Sus scrofa: one gene and its partner. The protein of the gene in region 2 purifies or fractionates together with the protein of the main gene of each other region. This does not show direct contact. Links are inferred from orthologs where the notes say so. Each region holds a gene or a part of one and is shown on either strand. Other genes may lie near its edges. The genes, in order: KPNB1 and PPM1G.

Region 1 (3,813 bases), on a different chromosome or scaffold from region 2:
GGATCTAGCATTATCACTGCTGTGGCAAGGGTTTAACCCCTGGCCTGGTCTGCATACCGTGGGCATGGCCAGAAAGAGAAAAAACATATTAGTATAAAAATACCTTCTCACCCCCACACACATAGGCCAAAAGCACCCCACAGTATTCTAGGGGCTTGATTGATTTTTTGATTGGAGGGTTTGAAATCAACAGATTCTGAACTCTCATTCATTTTACAGAATGTTCTCCGGAAAGTGCAACATCAAGACGCTTTGCAGATCTCAGATGTGGTCATGGCCTCCCTGTTAAGGATGTTCCAGAGCACAGCTGGGTCTGGGGGCGTGCAAGAGGATGCCCTAATGGCAGTTAGCACACTGGTGGAAGGTCAGTGAGCCAGATCGGGATGTCTTTTGAAAGAAAGAGGATGGCCATAAAGAATTTTGACTGCAGAATGCTTAGTCCTATCTTCTTATTTATTGGGGTATTGAGTCAGTTCAGAGTTGGGTTAAATGGAAGTGTAAGTTTGTGTATAAATTTCCTTGCCACTCTCCTTGAAGTGAATGGGGAAGAGATTGGCAACCCTTTGATGGGGGAACATCTATCTCTTGTTCTTCAGGTTCCTTTTCCCCCTGAAGTCTGCTTGCTTTGTTGAGGTTTGGCTCCTGTAAAGGATGGAGGAAGCAATGGTTTCTATTTTCTTTCCTGGCACTTGGTACCTTCTGGTGTGGGTTGTAATGCTTTGGATTCAGGTTGACACATCATGGTACCTGATATGAAATGGAATGAAACATTGAGTGAGTTCTAGGAATTAATTGATTTTCTGCTTGTTACATGTTTATGCACAATTGCTGTGGGGAAGCCATATCTGACGTAAGACTCCTTGAAAGGCCAATTGAAAACGTATTAAAGAGCACTTCAGACGCTTGGAATGGTTCTTCAGTGGTGGCCTATCAGGTGCCTTAGGAGGACCAGACCCATTTCTGGCATAAAGAGCTTTTGTCCCACTGGTCTGGCAACACGTGATCACCCCTGGCAGGGCACAGAAGTTGACTTTGGTTCCTAGAGTGGCTGATTTGGATATGAAGCCCAGACAGCTTTTCTTGACTGGCTTGTTAAGTGAGTCCTTGATAGAATTGCCTTAGAGACCCTGTTTTAAAGCTGGCTTTCAGAGAGGACATGTTGTAATCAGATGAAGAGGTGGATGAGAGGCAGTAACTCAGCCAATTCAGAATTAACCTTGACATTCCTTGAGAACCATACATACCACTTGGTAGTTTCTGTCAGTAAGGTCCTATTCCGGAGATGTGACGTTATCTCCAGGGGGCAAGAGTTAGGCCCTTCTGCAGTTAATCATTTGGCTTGCCCGAGGCAGCCTGTGACGTCATCACTCCTTGTGATAGAGTCAGTAACTAACTCACACTCTACCCAGCCTGTTGGCCGGAGTGCATACATTTTGGGAGAAGTAAGGTGGTATTTTTGCTCACTTCCATGACATCCGGTGGTGCTAATAGTTTGTTTCTTTGCAGTGTTGGGTGGTGAATTCTTGAAGTACATGGAGGCCTTTAAACCCTTCCTGGGCATTGGATTGAAAAATTATGCTGAGTACCAGGTAGGCTGTGCTTTCAAATAATACATTTATATCTCATTTGTACCTAGTAGTCATTGTAGTACGAAAGTCAGAATCCCATGTGATTCCTGGTCATGATTCCCTATGTGATAGCCCAAGGGTTGAATGACTCTTTTCCCGAGTATGTCTGAGCTAGACGTAGTTAGTGAGAACAGGATATCAGATGCACCAGAGTAGCATCCTAAGAAGGGGTTTTTGTTTTGTTTTCAGTAAACAACTCGCTTCTGCCACCACCATCCCTGGTGGATAGGAATGTCCTTTCTTAATGATATTTTAGATGGTCCTGGCTTTCTTCCGGCCATGTTGGTTGTTAAAAATGAACTAATCGCAGAGAAGAAGGGTCTTTTCTTTTTGACTCTAGGTTCAGGTGATAAGGGACCAACAGCTAGGTAAAAATCAGGCCTTAGCCCTGCAGGCAGCCTTTTCTGTTGGAGAGATCATTTTCTTGATTCTTTGCAGGTCTGTTTGGCGGCTGTGGGCTTAGTGGGAGACTTATGCCGCGCCCTGCAATCCAACATCTTACCTTTCTGTGATGAGGTGATGCAACTCCTACTAGAGAACTTGGGGGTGAGTGTCTATACGCACAACCTAGTTTACCAGTATTGGAAGAAATCATTGGTCGGAAAGGTGGTCATGTATGTGTGACAGGGAGCTATGTATATATATATATATATATGTATGTTCCAGAATGTTGGCTGTGGGCTTTTGAAGGGAACTGTTCATTTTCACAAGATGATTCCACCTCAGTTTGTAAAGTTAATTAAAGGAATGCATGGAACTTGGTGGCGGGGGTGGGGGGGGACAGCAAGTAAAGCACAAAGGAAAATAAATACCTAATCCCTCTATGTAGAGATAACCACTACTAATTTTTGTGTATGTTCTTAAGGTGTATATACCCAGCATATTAGTAGTTGCTTATTATTTAAAACACTTTTCTATCCTTTGGACAGAGCTAACTTTGACTTTTTTTAAACTGCTTTTCCCCCCCTTGTCAGAATGAAAACGTCCACAGGTCTGTGAAGCCACAGATTCTGTCAGTATTTGGTGATATTGCCCTTGCTATTGGTGGGGAATTTAAAAAATACCTAGAAGTCGTATTGAATACTCTTCAGCAGGCCTCCCAAGCGCAGGTGGACAAGGTAAGCTTAACACTATCTTTAAGTCCAGCCCTGACTAGAGGAGCAGCCCTTTTGGCAAACGTACAACTAAAGGCAATCGATGTGATAGGAATTCTGTTCTTTTTCTCTTACAGTCAGACTATGACATGGTGGATTATCTGAATGAGCTAAGGGAAGGCTGCTTGGAAGCCTATACTGGAATCGTCCAGGGCTTAAAGGGAGACCAGGAGAACGTACACCGTTGAGTATACAACCCAGTTGACTTGGTCCAGTGTGCCCTTAGCTAGATGAGCCGTGTGTGTCACTGTGTAGCTTACTTGCAAACTAGCACTTACTGCTTAAAACAAGGCAAGAAGGAGGAACAGTTCCCTAATGAAGGGAGGAGCTTTGGGGGATGGGGGGTAAACACTTTATTATTTCTGCTTCCTGCTTCCTCAGCTACCTTGTCTCACATTTCTTGAGCATTCAAGGTTGATGGTGCTGGTTGTGCCCGTACCAACCCTAAGTGGGGAGTTACTGACGCGTGTGCCACCATGCCCACCTTCTTGCCCCCCCCCAGGCACGTCTGAGTTGAAGGATTGGGAGTCAGGTTTCCTCTACCACCTGATGGTTCTGCTCCTGATTGGGAAAAAAATATTGGTACTTCACCCCTTTGATATTACAGGCTTAGAGCAAAGGTTCCATTTGTTCCTTCTATAGTACATCTGTTTGTGAGAAGAGGAATATCGGCCTCTTCTGTTACCTTGAAGAAGGACTTCTTGATCTGAGGAAGAATAATTTGGTGTAATCAGAAGCAACTAGTTCAGCCTAAAACCTGCCTGATGGAGGCAGAGTATTTAGAAATTATGAAACAGGGTGGAGTCTTGCCAAATGTGGCACAACTTCATCACACCTTCTCTTTCTTTTATAGCGGATGTGATGCTGGTACAACCTAGAGTAGAATTTATTCTGTCTTTCATTGACCACATTGCTGGAGATGAGGATCATACAGATGGAGTAATAGCTTGTGCTGCCGGACTCATAGGGTAGGTCATACTCTGCTTCCAATAGCTGAATAGAACTCCTCATGCAAAATGAGAAGACATGTA
Region 2 (4,290 bases):
TCACTCCAAACCATGGAGAAGGAAGAAGGGAAGGGAACATCAACTGTGGTATTTTGATTACCCCTCCTCAAAACACCCTGGTTCCACAGCAAGAGGGGCTAGAGAGAGGCAGAAAGTATAAAATGCCAGCTATTGATAGTTGCCATCCTTGCCTCAAGAGAAAGGATAAAATAGTACTCTCTTAGCCTGAATCTATGCATCAGTCAGGCTTTTAGCAACCTTTATAATGTGCATTGGTGTGATAAACGTAGCTCAACTAAATCATTAGGACCAAGCAAATTAAGGTCAATAGAATTAATAAATAAGTGGAATTTTAAGTCCTAAAGGTTAAGAGGAACAGGAGTACATTTTCCAAAAAGATTAAGATTCACTCAAGAGGCTAGAAGTCCAAGTTATTTTCTTGCCATAGCAAAGAAACTGTTATACTTAAGGGAGAGAGGAAATAAAGCCAGAAGCGAAAGTATCATTGCAGCAGAACAGGATCCCATACAGGACTTGGAGTGTATTTTATTAGATATATTTAACTATTTAAACAAAAGTAAAATCAAATACTGCATAATAAGATTTTGAAACCCTAAGTGGTTATCTCCCAGGAGGAGGATTAGAATCTAAGGAATAGTCTAGTAAGATCTCTACAAACTAAACTGCCTCTGATGAAAAGTCATGTTCTAATTACTAGAGGAGGAACCAAAAATAAAGGGAAATGCCCTGCAGAGAAGAAGCAAACAGTACAGAATCACTGGGCAAACAATTTGGAAAACTGAATATCCAAGCAACTCAATTTATAAAGAAAACTAGAAAGAGTACCAAAGAAATGGAAAAGCCACAGCAGAGAGGAGAGTCGAAAATACTGAAGAAGAAACCTGAAAGAAAAGCTTTATTATGAGATGAGACAGTCACCTCAAATCTTACCAAATTAACAGAAAATGTCATAGAAACAGAACTCCAAATTACCAGCTAATCCCAACCCCAGCCTTAAATTAAGGGTTTCCTTTGGAAGCTTCACCCAGATATTCCTACAAGTCAGACAATTACATTTACCAAGTACTCAGTAAGCTCAATACTGTGCACCACAGTCAAAAGTGAAGGCTTTACCTCAGCCTGACACAGAGAACAGTGCAGCAAGAGTCTTGAACCATTTCCATCCTACAGATCTTTCCTCCAAGGCACAAGTATCCTAATCTCTCCCAGCCTCAATTTCTGAGCAGTAAAGGGTGGGAGCCAATCTTAGTGAGATAACTATAGGATCCTCTCCATTCCGGAAATTTTACACCTAATGATAATGTCTCCTGTGGGTTCAAAATTTCACTTTGAGAACAAACCATTCAAGTTTACACTGTCATTCCAGAGCTAACCACAGGGAGGAGTGAGGGATTTGAAGAAATTCCCAAGGGAGACAGTATTTGCTGCTACCTGAAGCCCACCTAGTAAATGGATCAACCCTCAATCCCAGACAGAATTATGAGCATTTCCCTGGCTCCTCTGCCTAGATCTCCCGGTACTCTTCACAAAAACATGTCACACGTCTTTCCCCCTTCCCTTCCTACCATAGTTTTCTCCATTCTCCTTTGCAGTTTCCCATACAGTTGCCCAATACTATGCCTTTTTCTCCAGAATTTTTCCATAGCAAAATTTTCTATGAAAGAAAAAGAGTTCTCTGTACGTTAAGACAAAAAGTTGATGAAATTGTTGAAAATCAAGGAAACTATAAACTACAACAAGCACAGGCAAAAGACAAGTACCAAGTTTTAGAGAAACCCCGAGTGAGGAAAAAAAGAAAATCAAGCATTATAAAAAAAGAAATTATCGTGATGGACACAATTCAAGTTTTCCAAAGGCCATGAAAGGCCCTGAAACAAACAAGAGACAATTCTTGCAAGTCAAGTCAAACCTCCGAAATTAATTTGTGGTGCCCAGGGCCAGGCAACTAGGTATTAAGAATTTGAAACAGACCATTTACCCGGCTTCCTTTCACTGTCAAACTCCTCGTCCAAAGAACCCTCTCACATCACTTCTTTTTTTTTTTTTTAAGTACACTCATTCACATCTATCCCCCTCTCCCTAGCAAAATCAATGGATAGTCCCTTTTCATCTTCACTCCCACACTAAACCTCACACCGTTTGCGAGCCTGGAAGGCTGGGTTAGCACGAGAGGATGGCGCGAAGGCACGGGGACGTCGGTCAGTGGGCGGAAGGTGCCTCTCCCCACATGGCCGAGCCCTCACCGCCAAGGTGGCCACCGGCACACGGTTCCCTAGCACCGGCAGCTCTCTCGCTGCCTCGGCCCCGCTCTCGCTGTCGCCCCCCAGATTGCTGCTCCGGTCGCAGGATCTCGATTCGGACCCTTCCCCGAGGATGACCCCATCCCCCCGCTCCCTTTCTCCGTCGGGTTCCCGCCCTGCAGTCGCCAGCCTATGGGCCCCTCCCGCCTCACCTCCATGGAGACGCGCCAGCCTTGCATGGCGGAGAAGCCGTAGGGCAGCGGCAGGCGCGAGGCGCCGACCCCGTCCCCAGAGCACTTCACCGTGTTGGGCTGGGAGAGGTAGGCACCCATGGCGGCGGCTGACCGGCGACCTCAGGGGAAGGCGAGTGGGGCGCGACCCGTGCCGGAGCCGGAGCCCCGGGGGCGCGCGTGGCAGGAGCGGGCTAGACTGCGCGGCCGACGCAAGGTGCCGGTGAAAGGCGCGAGGCGGGCCAGGAGGCGGTAACGGGACGGGAGCAGAGAGGGAGCGGAAACGGAAACGGCACCGCTTCAGACCCCGCCCGGCCGGCGCGGCGCGGCACGGCGCCGCGCCGCGGGTAGTCATTTCCTTAGCAACTCGCCCCGCCCGCGGGGACAACGGCCCGCCCAACCGCCGCTCCCGCGAGACTGGCGCGGCCACGCCCACCAACGGCCGCGGCCTGCTTGGGCCGTCCCCGTGGGCTGCGCGTTGCCTCCAGCTCTGCCACCCTGTCCCCCGCCTCTTCTCCTGGCCTCGCGTTTTGCCTGAGCTCTTTTGTTTGGGACCTGGGGCTTCCGGTCCATCCTCCAGCGTGTCAGCTCCCTGTCTCCCCTCCGCGCCCGCAGACTCTGCGAACCGCGCCCGAAAAGGTTGACTTAAAGTTGGCTAGTATTTGTTCTGAGAGCATGAAGTATCCTGGCCAGGCCTTGTGAGGTCTGTGCCAGTGGGATGTGAGTCTTTTTGACAAAGAAAATGAAGACCTTGATCTATGACGTCTGTGCTGGTCGGGATGAAATCAGAGGAGAGTAAGAGATAGAAACCTACGGTAATCAAGGGAGTGTGATACTGGTACAAAAAGAGATGAAAGGATCAGTGGAGCAAAACAGAGCGCAGAAATAAACCCAGACACATCAGTTAAGACCCACAAAGGGGGTAAGAATATAAAAATGGAAGGAGTTCCCTTGGTGGTTAACGAACGCGACTAGGATCCATGAGGATGCTGGTTCGATCCCTGGCCTCACTAACCAGATTAACGATCTGGTATTCTGGCATTGCCTTGAGCTGTGGTGTAGGTGGAAGATGCAGCTTGGATCCAGGATTGCTGTGGCTGTGGTGTAGGCTGGCAGCTGCAGCTCCAATTCAACCCCTAGCCCGGGAACTTCCATATACATATGGGGTGCCCCCCCCAAAAAATTTATATAATAAAAGGATCTGGTGTTGCCATGAGGTGTAGATCGAAAACACACCTTGGATCCTGCGTGGCTGTGGTGTAGGCCGGCAGCTGAAGCTCAGTTTGGACCCCTAGCCTGGAAACTTCCATATGCCACGTGTGGGGCCCTAAAAAGACAAAAAAATTAAAAGAATATAAAGTGGGGGAAACATCAAAGCCCTCAGGAACCACTGAGTGGGAGTAATAAACTTCTTGTTCTACCAAAATAAATAAAAATAAAACGGGGGAAAGACAAGTCTCTTCAGCAAGTGGTGCTGGGAAAACTGGATAGCCGAATGTAAATCAATGAAACTAGAAAACACCATGCACAAAAATAAACTCAAGATGGCTTACAGATGTAAACATAAGACATGACACCATAAAATTCCTAGAAGAGAATGGAGGCAAAACATTCTCTGACATCAACCATACCGATGTTTTCTTAGGTCAGTCTCCCAAAGTAATAGAAATACAATAAAAATAAATAACACCTCGAGGTCCCGTCGCGGCTCAATGTTTAACGAATCCGACTAGCACCCATGAGGACTCAGGTTCAATCCCTGGCCTTGCTCAATGGGTTAAGGATCTGGCATTGCCGTGAGCTGTGGTGTAGGTCACAGATGTGGCTCAGTTCCCGAG

What was found.
Region 1: the proteins of PPM1G (region 2) and KPNB1 purify together in Homo sapiens (affinity purification with mass spectrometry; 3 studies listed by BioGRID and IntAct, with this or other methods). This does not show direct contact. The link is inferred for Sus scrofa from reciprocal best matches to the Homo sapiens genes PPM1G and KPNB1.

Annotation. Positions count from the first base shown.
Region 1 is NC_010454.4:23,936,229-23,940,041, forward strand, and holds part of KPNB1 (importin subunit beta-1), read left to right. Parts: intron 1-219; coding exon 220-364; intron 365-1,506; coding exon 1,507-1,589; intron 1,590-2,066; coding exon 2,067-2,174; intron 2,175-2,602; coding exon 2,603-2,746; intron 2,747-2,859; coding exon 2,860-2,965; intron 2,966-3,635; coding exon 3,636-3,750; intron 3,751-3,813.
Region 2 is NC_010445.4:111,746,557-111,750,846, reverse strand, and holds the start of PPM1G (protein phosphatase 1G), read right to left. Parts: upstream 2,836-4,290; 5' UTR 2,555-2,835; coding exon 2,435-2,554; intron 1-2,434.